Linked DNA regions of Lepisosteus oculatus. The main gene of each other region encodes a partner of the protein of the gene in region 2 in a complex. Links are inferred from orthologs where the notes say so. Each region holds a gene or a part of one and is shown on either strand. Other genes may lie near its edges.

Region 1 (7,709 bases), on a different chromosome or scaffold from region 2:
AAATTTCTGTTGCAAATTCATTTTGCTTTAAAAACCTTGTACACATCTGAGAGGCTCAGAAATATATCAGAAAGACAAAGGGTCTGGACACCAATCTGTCTCCCCAGGAGATCTCTTTGATCTTTTGATCAGGCTGCTGAGTGAGGCTATATACACTGGATCCCTGCATGCAATGTTCAAAGAGCAGCGCTACCTCTGTTCTCTTTCTTTTTCTTTTTCCCATTGACAACCACTTTTGTGCAATATATGCCAGGGACCTGTGCAATACATTTATATTGGTTACATCTATTGGTTACATCTATGGTTACATCTATATTTATATTCATACGTGTGATACGATTTTCTGTGTACTGTTCTGTTCTAGTTTCCTCTTGTGTGTCCGGACTGTGAGTAACTCTTGTATTGTATTGTATTGTATTGTATGTATTGTACTATTAGTATATAATTCGTTACACTGTGGCTGTGTTGTGTGTGTTAAGCTGCTGTTGCACTGCAATTTCCCTCACGGGATCAATAAAGTATCTATCTATCTATCTACACCTTTTTCTGCTTTTCTGAAAGCCCATCTGTATGTGAAGGTTCACTGATGTAAGAGAGAACTTTCCCTTTGTTTTTCTGGGATTCCCCCAGAACTCCACACTGAGAACAATTCTAACTGCTAATCCTACAATGATGGACAGTATAACTGACGTGCGATACCACTGCTTCAAGAAGCTCAGGCTTTCCATCCCTTTTCTAACCACTTCATGCAAAACAGAGTCGTGGGGGTGCCGAAGCTGGAGCCTATCCCAGCAAGCAAGGGGCACAAGACAGAAAACACCCTGGACAGGATGTCAATCCATCACAGGGCACGCACAGACACAAACACACACACACACCAGGGCCAGTTTTCCCAGAAGCCAATTAACCTACCAACACGTCTTTGGGCTGTGTGAGGAAAGTGGAGCACCAGGAGGACATCCAGGCAAACACGGAGAAAACATACGAACTTCACACTGATAGCTCCCTGGAAACTGTGAGGCAGAAATGTTAACCACTGCGCCACCGTGCCACTCGCTTAAATAAATAAAAAAGGATCTTGGAGGTATTTAAGCAGGAGAGCCCTACAGGAAATCTACTGTAATGTGCCACCTTGCCACCCACAGTCACACAGGGAAACACATGCTCATGAAACTCTGTGGCCTGGCTGTAAGCCCCCGGCTGACCTGCGCGCAGGGGAATCCAGCAGCGAGCCATCCAGGCCGCTCATGTGCAGGTCGATGACCTTGGAGCGCCGCCTCTGCCTCTTCTCCAGGTCGTCATCGTTGCTGGGGCAGCTGTTGAGCAGCGGCTGGTGGGCGACCTGCACCACCTTGGCACGGGTGGAGGGCGAGACGAACTGCTTCCCGGGCAGCATCTCCGTGAGGACGTGGGAGCGCATGCCCAGGCGGGGGGTGGAGGAGGCACTCATCGCGGCACAGGCTGCCTCGGAGAGAGAGATGGCACAGAACAGCACTCTTAGACAACCCCGAAGCTGGCAATAAGAATGAGGTACGCATGCAACTTCATATTTAACAATCCCCATCTCTGAATTGGCTTCATCACTCTGTCCTCCTCCCCACTCATAGCTGATGTGAGGGGATCGTTCTGGCGCACTATGGCTGCCGTCGCATCATCCAGGTGGGGCTGCACACTGGTGGTAATGGAGGGGAGTCCCCATTACCCATAAAGAGCTTTGAGTAGAGTAATAAATAATAATAATAATAATTAGTAGTAGTAGTAATAGTAGTATAGTAGTACAGACCATCCCTCAGACAGCGCTTAACATACAGATCCAGCCCATATTACAATGAACAAATCTAGCATAAGTAGAACTCTACTAGAATATTTCCTCATCCTTGGAATATCTATGAGCTTTTTGCATGATATACAAGGTCTAGCTACAAAGTCAGTGTTTCCTCCATTTTATGGATGGCTCTTCGTCACAGTACAGTTAGCACTTTTATACTTTTACGACAACATGTCCTTGTCTGTCTGTTCAACTGAGCAATAATTACAATTAGTCAAGCTCTGTTACACAAACAGCTAGAACAGTACAAATACTCAGAATGCATTATGAAGCACAAGCTTTAATTTTCGACCGACTTCCTGTTGAAATCATAGGTAGCATTGTACAATTAAGAGTGGAGTAGGGATTAAGTACTGTATAAAGTACTTTAACCAGATTATTTCAGCAAGTCCACCTTTAAAAACAGGTAAATGTAACTTCTGTGAGTCATTTTCTATAAAAGTCAACCTAATAAGGAATTACACTATTATTCAACCCCAGTAAGAACACTGTTATGGACAGTTAAAATACAACTGAGGTTAGGACACACCGGCCTGACTGTTACAATAGAGAGTCGCCCAGGGACAGAAGAGGCGAAACATCCGGAGTGCGATGTTTGTTTTGGTCTGTGGTGGTTTCTACTGCTGTATTAACAATTCTACTGGATAATCGAGATACATTATAAATATAATTTTAACGTAACGAGCGCACATAACCGTGCGTACATTACTTGCAGTTTTATAAGCGATCGCGTCATATTTACTGGTTTTGCCGAGATGTAAATAACTCGAAACATCACCGAAATTTCTCCTCTGAAACCAATTTTTACGAGCACATAACTTCCAAATTGTTGAGAAAAAATATTGTTATCCCAGATACATATTTATTGGAGCTATATTTAAGTTATATAGCTCTGATTTTAAATTCCAATTACTGTTTTGTATTAACACAATTCAGATCACGCACCGGGATCAGAAAAAAAAACTTTAAAAAGCCTTACCGTGATCTAGATCCTGTTTAACCGAAGGCTATATAAGCCAACACTAAAAATAACAAGATTTAAAAACCCCAAAAAACACCACCAATAAACTGTTTGTGAATATGATGGATAATATGTTATACGATGTTACTTAAGATTGCTCAGTCCTCACTTTTTGAAAATTTGCGCCGACACAATTACGCATGCGCACGCACATCGGCGCGATCGTAAAACGTCATCACGTATAGTCAAAAACACGGTTCTCATTTGAGTTTCCTGCTCTGTAGGCAAGTGGGTGGGCTGTAGGTTTTGTGCTATTAGTAAATGCAGGAAATATTGTACAAAGGAGGCCCTGGCGCTATTTATAGTGCACATTTTCCCTTCCCTAGATATTTTATAAGAAATAGCGCGATAAAATGGTGTGCGGATGTTTACCTAATCCTTTATTTAACCAGATAAATCGCTTACGACCTTGATGGGAACCCCGGTGTAATATTATCTATATCTGTATAATATTATCCAGGTATAATATTAACTATTATATGGTATAATAGTTCTAGATGTATTAGTAACGACAGCAGTTAGCTTGTTTTCCTCTTAGAGAACCTAATTAGATTTTAGACTACACTAGGTGTTAGGTACTGTTAACATGACAATAATAATAATAATAATTGCTTACACTTATATAGCGCTTTTCTGGACACTCCACTCAAAGCGCTTTACAGGTAATGGGGACTCCCCTCCACCACCACCAATGTGCAGCATCCACCTGGATGATGCGACGGCAGCCATAGTGCGCCAGAACGCTCACCACACATCAGCTATCAGTGGGGAGGAGAGCGGAGTAATGTAGCCAATTCATAGAGGGGGATTATTAGGAGGCCATGATTAGTAAGGGCCAATTGGAAATTTGGCCAGGACACCGGGGTACACCCCTACTCTTTTCGAGAAGAGCCCTGGGATTTTTAATGACCACAGAGAGTCAGGACCTCGGTTTTACGTCTCATCCGAAGGACGGCGCCTGTTTACAGTATAGTGTCCCCATCACTATACTGGGGCATTAGGACCCACATGGACCACAGGGTGAGCGCCCCCTGCTGGCCCCACTAACACCACTAACACCATGACAGATTTGCATAACCTGACATCCCAGCTATCATCAGTTGAGATGATTATATGTGATAAGTTTTCATTACTGAATTGTGTAAGCAGCATGAGACACGCGTGCTTGAGTCTGACAGAAGAGGCAGCGTGTAAATAGTGGTCCTTTGGGAATCTAATAATAATTATTAATAATTGCTTACACTCATATAGCACTTTTCTGGACAGTCCACTCAAAGCACTTTACAGGTAACGGGGACTCCCCTCCACCACCACCAATGTGCAGCATCCACCTGGATGATGCAACAGCAGCCATAGTGCGCCAGAACACTTATCACACACCAGCTCTCAGTGGGGAGGAGAGCAGAGTAATGAAGCCAATTCATAGATGGGGATTATTGGTAAGGGCCAATGGGAAGTTTGGCCAGGATTCCGGGGTTACACCCCTACTCTTTTCAAGACCCTGGGATTTTTAATGACCTCGGTTTTACATCCCATCCAAAGGACGGCGCCTGTTTACAGTATAGTGTCCCCGTCACCATACTGGGGCATTAGGACCCACATGGACCACAGGGTGAGCGCCCCCTGCTGGCTCCACTAACACCTCTTCCAGCAGCAACCTTAGTTTTCCCAGGAGGTCTCCCATCCAGGTACTGGCCAGGCTTACACCTGCTGAGCTTCAGTGGGTTGCCAGTTGTGAGTTGCAGAGTGATATGGCTGCTGGCCATATCTGACCTGGAAGGGAGTGTAGGATAAGTCCCCAGGTCCTGCAGCAACACTGGACAATGTGAGTGTTCAGCCACTGTAGGCTTTTCACTGGCCTGAGAACACAGCCCTGTGCAAGCGCAGCTTTTAATTACATACACAGCCCCTCTCCGAGCACTGATCCTCCAGCCATATTTACCTGCATGCCCCAGTGGGCCCAATTACGCTCTGGGATTCAGAAGGCATGTTGTGTTTTTTTAACCAAGCCAACTTTCAACTTTTCCATTTCCTTAAAAGACTTAGAATTGCACCTGGTGAGGTCTCCTCAATTTGAATTTTTCTGACTGAAAGCCTGAGGGAATTTTCAATTTTGTCACAACTGGAGATATTGGCAGCGGGGGGAGTGCAGAGCACTGGGTTGCCAGAAAGAATTATTTTAGCAGAGTGTCTTTCAAGTCCCGAAAGGGTGGGTCCAGCAAGATTAGTGGATTTGATGGTGTCGAGGGGGTAACGGGATTGGGAGATGTATAAATGTGCCCCAATTACTAATTATGTGAAATATCATTTTTTTGCATTCGATACATCTAATATACCTTTATTTATATTTACATTATTTTATATAGAAAGAATTACAAAAAAATCTGAAAATGTGATTGATTTCTGCTTCTAAGAAAAAGTGTACTTTAGGTTGAAATGTAATCATGCCTGATGTTAGCTTTGATGCCACTACAGGTAGGTTACGTTTTGACTGTGGATGGAACCTACCTGTTAGCTGTCCTGGCTGCTTGGAAAATTACGTGCAATTATGCATCATTGCCTATAGGTGGGAGAAAACATGCAATACAGTTTTCCAAAACAGTTGCCTATTTAGTTTATTCTGAATGTTCAGTTCTGTCGTTTCTGGAAGCAGAATGATACCAAGCTGTATTAACACAAGAGTTCAATGTTCTTTACATACAGTAAGTCTGAAACTCAGTTATTAACATTTGATAATTTTTATGCAACATTTTTAAATGATCTAAAGTGAATTTGAATCAACTAGCTTTCTGAAAGAGAAGACCTTTTTAATAACCTCAAGAAGCACTAAGCAACACCTGATAATTTGTTGAAAAAAGTACCACGTACCAATTCAGTAGGATTCCTTGTTATTCTTTCTGCTGTTACAGAAGGGCTTCTCCACAATTCTTTTAAGAAGGGATGAAAATAATTACCAGAGATGGGTAAAGTACATTAAAGTATGTTTAGACAACAGTGCAATGCTAATTGTCCCACACGTTTCAAAATCAGCTTTGAAATCTAAGCTGTGGGGCACATACTGTAATAGATGAAAGAAGCAACAAGTCAAACGATTAGTTGAATGGCCTGTGTATGGGATAATAGTGGTTCACAAGATGTCAGAATAAACACACCTGGCTCTGTTGCGTCCCTTAGTCAGGTAATTACTGAGATGAGTGGTGGGTGTCTGGAACAGGCAGTTTTGACAAGCTGTTGGAGCAGACACTCTGGGATCTTGTACGGCAGAATTAAATTTGTGAATGCATTAGCTACTAGGACCCAAGTGGGCATGATGGGCCTTCTCATTTGCTGCCCATACAGTGTTCTTATATTTTTGTGTATTCTGTATAGGAGTGTTAAAACTGCCAGGTTATTTGTGAATGAGATCCCCTCCAGCACCAGAAATTGCACTGGAGTATATGGGGAAAAGACATCATCATGACCCTTAGGAGGGGGGGATCTGTAATGTTCTCTAATACACCATAATGCAGGATAATAATTCCGGCTTGCTCCAGGCAGGTTGGGCTCAGCATAATATTTATGGAGTGTGTCTCATTTTGCTTTGTGGCTCGCAGACGAGAGTTAAAAGCAGCTGCTGATGTACTGAGCATCTGACAGGCCATGGAATGATAGCTTCACTGAAGGGGTAATGGGTTATTAATAATTTCACATGAAAAGCCATCAGAAAACCCAGCCAGGCTATTTTGTTTGGAAGGGTGGTAGGGAATGACAGTTAATGATGAGGTTTGTTATTACCATCACTGCTTTTATTATAATTTTCCAAAATATGCTTCGAGTCCATTGTTAATATATGCTTTGAAAGTTTAGGAGAGGGGGTGGTGTGCCCCTGTTTTGGATCAGACATTTATTGGGCATTCCTTCTGCTGGCATGCTGTACCATACATTCTCAAGCACACACAAAATAAAACTCAAAGACTAAAGTTTGAAGAAGATTACTTTTGCTTTTGTTCACAGATCATTGAATTCTGCCTCCAACCTGCTCTTTTTAAAAAAATGGAGCAGTGCACCACTGAGCTAGAGTCCTCCAGTGTGCAGGTGTTTTTAGAATCAGCTTAAGTCTCGGTTGTTCCACCAATAAGAGCTCCAGCTTTTCCTCTCTTTGTTAACGTGAGGCAAACTCATTTACTGATAATTCCTTGAAAAACAAAACGCACTCGTGAGTACTCCTCAGATTATTTTTTTGTTTCCATCTGGAAACAAAAAAGTACGCTGCATCTAGAAAGCCTTCATCATATTTTTGAGAGTGCCTTAAATAAACTTGCATGTTTATGAATGCTACTGGCATGATAAAGCTGTGAAGTGCCTAGCCCAAACACAGATAGGCAGGAACACATACGACTGCTAGTGTCTCTCACTTAGTCTCATACTGCTGGCCCGTCCTTTTCAAAACTGTACAGAAGTCTCTGCCAAACAGCCAGTCAGAACATGCCTACCTCTCGTTAATGCTTTTTATTTACGTTACTGGATGCAGCACTTATTTTATTCAGGGAGGCATTCCTCAAAATTATGGGGAAATGGAAAGAAAATCCTCGCTTCTTTTTGAGATAACGAAGCATCCTCCTGCCCTCATGAGCAAAGCAGGGGCTGATCAAACAAGAGCAGTCTTTCAGCTCTCAGCATTTCAGCCTATAGCGGCGACTCCGCAACAGACTGTTTCCCTGCCCGTCGTGGCACCACGGCGCAGTAGGCAAACAGAGGGGGAGACAAGGAAGTACAGTCAATAGTTTCATGGGCACGCAGGAAAGCTTTTAGACAGGAAGAGGTCACTGTGCACTTTTAGCTAATTTGAAAAAGCTTTCTTTCCCGTATCAGGAGTTGAAC
Region 2 (7,627 bases):
AATGTAGATACACGTATCATAAAACGAGTGATATTACCAACCATTAATAGTGGGGCAGTTCTCATTCTGTGGCTCTTGAAGTCTAGTCATGGCCAAAGCTGCTTGGATCCTGACATTTGGAAACTTGTCTTTCACTCTGATCAGCATAGACTCATGAATACGGTCAAAGAGGTCTTCATCAATTTGAGCATTTTCAGCCATGCTTCCCAACAACTTATTGATAAGCTGACAAACACGGAACCGAACTGCATGGCTGTTGGCATCGTGGGACTACGAAAATTAAAAAAAAAAGCAAAGTAAAGACAGCTGACCAACCTTTTTATCTAACTCAGGCATCTCATTAAGCCAAAAACACTCACAAAAACAAATTTTTAATAACATAGCATGGTGAATTAGCATGGATATTATGGTTCAGAATTTGCTTGTGTGCATAATCCAGAAATACCAAGATTTATATAAAAAACACAAAATAATTTGATATACCAGTTGAAGCAAAAAGCAGTAGTTCAAGTAAAAACCCACACTTTGCCAGCACACTGTTCACGAAACTTTTAAAAAGTCAAAGCAGTATAGTTTACTATACTGTAAATAGGCACCGTCCTTTGGATGAGACATAAAACCAAGGTCCTGACTATCCGTGGTCATTAAAAACCCCAGGGTGTTTCTCGAAAAGAGTAGGGGTGTAACCCCAGCGTCCTGGCCAAATTTCCCATTGGCCCTAATCAATCATGGCCTCCTAATAATCCCCATCTATGAACTGGCTTCATTACTCTTTCTCCTCCCCTCTGATAGCTGATGTGTGGTGAGCGTTCTGGTGCACTATGGCTATCGTTGCATCATCCAGGTGGGGCTGCACACTGGTGGCGGTGGAGGGGAGTCCCCATTACCTGTAAAGCACTTTGAGTGGAGTGTCCAGAAAGGTGCTATATAATTATAAACAATTATTATTATTATAAAGCTACACATTCATACCTTTAGCAAAAAGGTAAACAAGTAATTCAGAAAAGGGTTTTCTTCTTCCTCACTCTCTTCCAACACTTCCTCATTCTCCACCGGTTCTTCAAAACTTGTAGCAAACTTTGCAACAAAGTCGATCACATTCTCAACAGCTGGTTCTCGCTTATAAACAATCATGGGGTACTTCAGATAATGAACAAACTCTTCATGGAAGATGGTTTTGTCTTCCAGCTAAACAAAAAAGTAGATTACATAAAGGAATTATCGTTTGCAATAGTTATTTTTACAATTATCTCTTAGTTAAGACTATACCATTAGCAATTGTATCCAAAACAAAAGGGTATTACAAAATATTTACAATATACAGCTCAGCATAGGCAATTTTTAAAAAAGAAAGCCAGCCAACCAAATGACTAAATGCTTACCACAGCACCACTGTGCCACTCTTGTATACACATGAACTATATAAATAAAATCTAGTGAGATATTGCATTATAAACAAACAAAAGCTTTCAACATTTTGAAATGGAAAATGACATAGCTTGAACAACAGTAAGAGGATCAGGTGATATTTAGGACATCTCCATCCTGATTGCTGCACAGCGAAACATATTTATGTCACCTCTTTCTTAAGTGCAGGAAAAAATCAAAAGGTTTTTCTTAATTTACATCTTTAAATTACTAAATTTAATGTCATCTGCTAAACTAAGAATAAGAACTTCATTTCATGGGTATCTATAAAATGTATTGGACTGGGCCTTTCCAGACCAGGAGGTGAAATCCAATGTCTATAGTCATGTCCACTTTTTAGTTACAAATATGTTTTAATGAAATATACTAAAATGAATACAAAATATACCTGCTTTTTTCATTTCTAAATCTAACTGAAACCAGAAATAAAGTGAATCTCACAAAAAAGACAAGTGAATAATAAGCTTGCTGTCATTTACAGACGTTGCAGGTTTTAGCAATGGAAATGATGTGCAGTTAACAGAATAAACACATTAGCAGTTAAAAATGAAATCATTACCTCGTTATATTTGCTCTTCAAAGCAGCTACGAGTTTGGCTTTGTTGTTGTGACCCTTCTGAGCCTTTTCATACGTCTCTTTAATAATATCCTTGATTTCCGTCATCTTTGTGTTGCTGGGGGAAGGAGAAATGTTTCACAAAGGACCAAATTAAAATGAAGAATTAGAATAGGGAAGAGGTAACAAAACAAAAAGTGTATACATATATATGCCTATAATGTAATTAACTAGTAACCCAGACTAGTCATCGGCATTATTTTTTTGACAATTCTCCTAGATGTCACCACACCTTCATTTACTACCACAAAACAGAGAAACAAAATCGATAATAAGACTTGTTTACTTCGAAAGTTACAATCCACCTTTAAAGCCATTTAAATGTATAATTAATATCGATTAAACCATATCTTATGGCGTAAAACAGGCAGTATATAGCAAACGTGTTTTGAAATGAAATCGATCAACATTTAGTGTTCAGATTATAAATTACAATCTTTTGAAGTGGAGTAACTAGTTACTTTGTGTAAGTAGATTGTCGACGTTGCGGTCGTAGTTCCTGAACATTATTTATTAACGAGCATAAACATTTACCTACAGTTAGGTTATCCTTACCTAAGATAAGATGAAGACCGAGAAGATGCTCGCTGTAGTTATTATATGTCTATGTTTTACTCTACTGCCAGTTTTCGAATTTAATATCCGTTTAAAAAATAAAGACACATTTAAATTCCGGCAAGTCTTACCTCTTTTCCTTCCTCTAAACCGCCAATTTTCAAAAACAAGCCTTTTCTCGCGAGAAAGTAGACGAGATCTCAACTCACCCGGCCCCTTTTCCTCTCACACTCTGTGAAATTGTTTCAAGGTACGTTTCACAAAAAATGTAAATAAAACAAAATATACATAATACAGCGAACTTTGAAGGTTTATCTGTTAACAGAATGTATTACAAGAAAGCACTTGTAAATTAGAAATGGCAACAGAATACTTGGGCTATTACAATATTTCTGGTGCTGTAGCGTCTACCCGCCGCGAGGTGGAGATGTAGGACAGTGAAGCTTTTGGACTGAGTCGGATGAGTATTTTTGTATTTTCAAATTCAAATTCGACGAGCTTTATTGGCATGACCGATGCACTACAATGTTGCCAAGCAGAAACAAAAAAACACTGCATTTACATTACAAACATATCCCAGTACAGTTGCGTACTGTTACAGTTACAGTTATTTTAGGGAAGAATGTTTACCTAATCCCAGACTATTTCTCACAGTGCAACGGAAAGTGGATCTCTGTCACTGCTTCTCCCCGCTGGCAGTGGGAGCATAGCCTGTCCTCTCTGGGCATCGGGGTCTGCCTGTGTCCAGTTTCTATAGCCAGGCTGTGGTCACTGAGCCTGTACTTTGATGATGTCTGTTTCTCTATTATGCCTCTTATTCTGGTCAGATGCTCAGCTAGTGTGTAGCAACATAATGTCCGCCACTGTAATATGTTTGAACCTAGGACTGGAGAGCACAGCTATAACTGAGCCCTTTTGTAATAAAAGCTTTGAACATACAATTGTTTCATTTTATTCTTCTGAGCGTGTGTGAGCACATTTAACTGCTCAAATGCATCTGCTAACAACAATGCACAGTATGTATGTAAATACCTCAAGTAACTACGATTAGTTGATTTTCAAAAGCCATAGGAATCCAGGGTAGTGTATGAACGTTGATCAGAATTAAATTATGGGACACTGGACAGATATAAGCAGTGGAGTGCCACAGCACCATTATGTACATCAAAGGTTTAGATGTTACTATAATTAGAAAAACATTTGCAGATTATACACTTATAGGTGGAGTGGCACACACAGCGCCAAGGAAGTTAAAGCAAAGCATGGAGAATGTCATGGAGGTAACATTATGGAGAAGTTAAGGGAGCAAAATCTCTTCAGTCCACAAAACAGGATGTTTCTCAAGTGTATAGGGTCCTAAGTGGTACAGATATGTGTAACGCAGTAGCAAAACAAGGACAAATTGCCATAACTGTAGACTAAAATGGAAGGAGGGTGAATGGGAAATGTTTTTTTTATATACAAAAGAGTAATGAGTATCTGATCTTCCCAGCCAGGTTTTAACACCCAAACTCTGGAGAGTTCTAGTCTCCCTTAACTACTAAACAACCAAACAAGCAAGATAGCCAAATGGTCTCTTCTCATTTGCAGTCTTTCTTTATGCAATCATGTTGTAAACAGGAAAAATATTCATCGTAAGTAGAAGAACACCACAACTCCAAGCAGCACCCTTCCTGTACAGCTTTTGCTCCTCAGTCTGTAATTCCTTGGTCTGGATTTGTGGATTGGTGATAGAGTCAACCCACCTTGTTTGTGAATTGATGCTCTGTCAAGTGGGATTTACCCTGTATTAAATAGCAGATAAAATATTTTTTATATATAACATCCCTTGTTATCTTTAGTACACTTCATAGAAAATCATCAGGCCCTAAACATTTGTCTTATATAACTGCTATATTATTCACATTATTTTAAATTTCCAGCAATCCTTTAGCCTGTAACACTTTCACTTCTTCTTGCTAATACTATCTTCCTCGCCTCCTGGAGTGTGACTGCAGTGTTGGGGAAGATGGGGAGATTCGGAGTATCCTTCTCTTGTTGGACCTTCAAGTACCTAACAGCTACCATCCCACTTATAATTTGCATTTTCTATCAAAAATCCGTGAACAAACAAAAATAGTCTCATCCTGCCTGTTAATGAGCTCTTTAAACCTATGCGGTCAAGGGTTAGACAGAGATTAAGCACAGAAGCAGCCTTTGTTAAAGTAGTTCCTGATTTGCTGATGGTTTGTGACCTTCAGCTGCTTAATATTCTTCTTCTGGATTTAAGTGCAGCTTTTGATACTGTCAATCCAGGCATCCTACTAAATAGCATGTAGAACTATCTAGGGATTAACTAGGTTGCCTTTGTTGATTTGGCTCCTACAGTATATGGCTCCCAGGAGCAAATTTAGCGATCTGGTCTGGTCTGTTTTAAATTTAATGTTATCCCACTTACTCAAAGTGTTCCAACAGCTCTGTGCTATGAACTTTTTTTTTGTACTGTATTGATATTTTTAATCTTGGGTGGATTCTTGGGATTCACTGCTATGCTGACAACACTCCGATTTCCTTGCAGGTCAAATCAGATTCTACTGCGGTGGTTTCTGCACTCCATAGGGTATTTGTATGATATTAACATAAAAAAACCTGAACATTTTGAGACTGTGATTTTAAAGCTAAACTGTTTTTTAAGCTAACTACCACAACTGTTAGATGTCCCCCTCTTGTTTGTAAACTTTCTTACATTCTTGTGTTGTTATGTGTCAAGACTGTACTTCCATGCAGTTTCCAGTTGTGTTTTCTGGTTTGTGTTTCACTGTTGATTCTGAAGAAGTCAGTTTGATTCTGATATGATAGTTTACAATATACTTAGATGGGCTGGTTAGGTATGAAATCAGTAGAAAATTGATGGCTACAGCTTAAAGATATTCTGCTTGAAGCACATAATAGATTTAGCTCACAAATATAATACCAATGCATTCTGTATTTTGCCAGAAGGATCTGTATTAGGACCAATACTTCTAAATTTTTAGCAGATCTAGGTTCTGGTACATTCAGTGAGCTATACCATTTCCAGTTAGATGTGAAGAAACAAATAAAAATACTCAATGTTAGGATATGAAGTTAAAGTGTAGAATCCAAATCATGGGATATTATTTTAAAACTATACAATGCACTTGAAAGATCGCATTGAGAATACTGCATACAATTTTGGTCAGCACATTACAAAAAATGTATTTCTCCTCCGGAATTAATAACAGCAGGAGAGACCAGAAGTATTTCTGGACTTTCTGGGATTTTCCTACATTGACTAGCTAACAGAACTGAAGCCTGTGTGTTATTCCATTGTTATAGCCAGCAGCCATATCACCCTGCAACTCACAGCTGGCAACCCACTGAAGCTCAGCAGGTGTGAACCTGGTCAGTACCTGGTTGGGAGACCTCCTGGGAAAAACTAAGGTTGCTGCTGGAAGAGGTGTTAGTGGGGCCAACACGGGGCGCTATGCCTGCAGTCTATGTTTGTCCTAATGCCCCATTATAGTGACAGGAAGACTATTCTGTAAAAAGGCACCATCCTTTGGATTAGATGTAAAACCAAGGTACTGACTTTCTATCGTCATTAAAAATCCAAGGGCTTTTCTTGAAAAGAGTAGGGGGTCCTGGCCAAATTTCCCACTGGCCCTTACCAATCATGGCCTCCTAATAATCCCCATCTTTGAATTGGCTTCATCACTCTGTTTTCTTCCCCACTAATAGCTGATGTGTGGTGAGCGTTCTGGCGCACTATGGCTGTACATTGGTGGTGGTGGAGGGGACCTGGTTGCCCTACATTCTATCATTCAATCTTATGTCAGGGCAATCTAAGTTCTTCTTTATTGTTGTCCTTCTTTTACTTCTTATTGTATTTTTTTAAAATTTCCCAGCATTCCTGGGTTTCCAAAGGCTCTTAATTATTAAACATTGTTGTTGTTGTTGTTCCTAAAGGCACTGACAAAGCCAGTCCTGTGGTCTTCTCAAATGTTGCTTTATTGGCCCTATACAATTCCTTGCACTAGGATTTTGTCTTTTCGCATACCCCAGCTTGCTCTCCATGAGACACAGACAGGGAGAGAAGCTTGGGGTCAGAGTACAGGGTCAAACATTTATACAGCACCCCTGGAGCAGTTGGGGTTAAGGGCCTTGCTCAGGGGCCCAAGGGAGTAGGATTCCTCTGCCGGCTGCGTGATTTGAACAAGCAACCTTCCACTCAGAGCCACAGATCCTTAGCTATAGAGCCACCACACCGCCGAGGAGGAGGTACAAGTAAAAGTGGGAGTCTGGAACAAGTTACCCAACCCTGCCATTGAAACTGAGCCCTTGGCTTATTTCAGGAAACAACTGGAGGAAATCCTAGAATCAATTGTCTCCTATCAACCAAATTAAGCAAGATGGGCCAAATGTTTTCTTTCAGTTTTAAGATTTCTTTGTTTTTATACAACATTTTTTACCCTGCTCTTCCTATAAATATACCACTTGTATGTGCCAAAATTGTGGCGTGCGAATGGGAATGTGTAGGTGAATATTTTTTTCCAACTTTTTGCCAACAAGCTTCTGTTTAAAAACTAAAATTTAACCAAATTTAAAACCTTTGCTTTTAAAAAACAAACTAGACAGACCTGTACAGCAGCAGAGGTATCCATTTCATCTGATTAAATGAAAGGGGGCACTTGAATCCTAAATACTGTACATCTTTTTAGAAAGCAGTGTCTTTAAATTTCAAAGGTTTTAAAGAGATCTTTAAAAAAAATTAGCAGCACTTCAGTTATGGATTTCAACAGGCAGCACACATACTGTATACAGTATCTCCACTGGACTGTTTTCCTAAACAGTAGTTGGACAAATGCACATTGACTACTAACATTGACTAACATCAATGACGATAATACATTATAAAGAATTCCATTCCATTAGAAAAGGATGTGGAAGAACCAGCAGTATTACTCCCAGTTGTTCTGTTTATGTAGCTTGTTTCAAAACCTTTAAAATAGCTAGATGGATGATGGTTTA

Evidence for each region.
Region 1: the proteins of ncapg (region 2) and ncaph are in contact, whole or in part, in a crystal structure (PDB 6IGX), measured with the Homo sapiens proteins. The link is inferred for Lepisosteus oculatus from reciprocal best matches to the Homo sapiens genes NCAPG and NCAPH. Residues at the interface, in NP_071741.2 of Homo sapiens: Lys11, Phe14, Arg15, Gln18, His50, Tyr51, Lys53, Tyr54, Val55, Met56, Val57, Glu62, Ala64, Val65, Val68, Phe102, Ser106, Glu108, Ala109, Asn110, Ser111, Val114, Arg115, Ile149, Arg150, Lys152, Asp153, Lys154, Arg159, Glu188; in NP_056156.2 of Homo sapiens: Glu471, Ile472, Asp473, Phe474, Glu475, Asp476, Asp477, Ile478, Phe480, Val482, Tyr483, Phe484, Arg485, Lys486, Thr487, Ala489, Ala490, Thr491, Ile492, Leu493, Gln501, Asn502, Trp503, Ala505, Thr506, Thr507, Leu508, Phe512, Tyr514, Val516.

Annotation. Positions count from the first base shown.
Region 1 is NC_090697.1:68,556,478-68,564,186, reverse strand, and holds the start of ncaph (condensin complex subunit 2), read right to left. Parts: upstream 3,001-7,709; 5' UTR 2,808-3,000; intron 1,466-2,807; exon of another isoform or gene 1,462-1,465; 5' UTR 1,451-1,461; coding exon 1,206-1,450; intron 1-1,205. UniProt on the Homo sapiens protein: Regulatory subunit of the condensin complex, a complex required for conversion of interphase chromatin into mitotic-like condense chromosomes.
Region 2 is NC_090696.1:11,304,017-11,311,643, reverse strand, and holds the start of ncapg (condensin complex subunit 3), read right to left. Parts: upstream 3,009-7,627; 5' UTR 2,731-3,008; intron 2,713-2,730; exon of another isoform or gene 2,600-2,712; intron 2,103-2,599; 5' UTR 2,093-2,102; coding exon 1,988-2,092; intron 1,189-1,987; coding exon 973-1,188; intron 271-972; coding exon 42-270; intron 1-41. UniProt on the Homo sapiens protein: Regulatory subunit of the condensin complex, a complex required for conversion of interphase chromatin into mitotic-like condense chromosomes.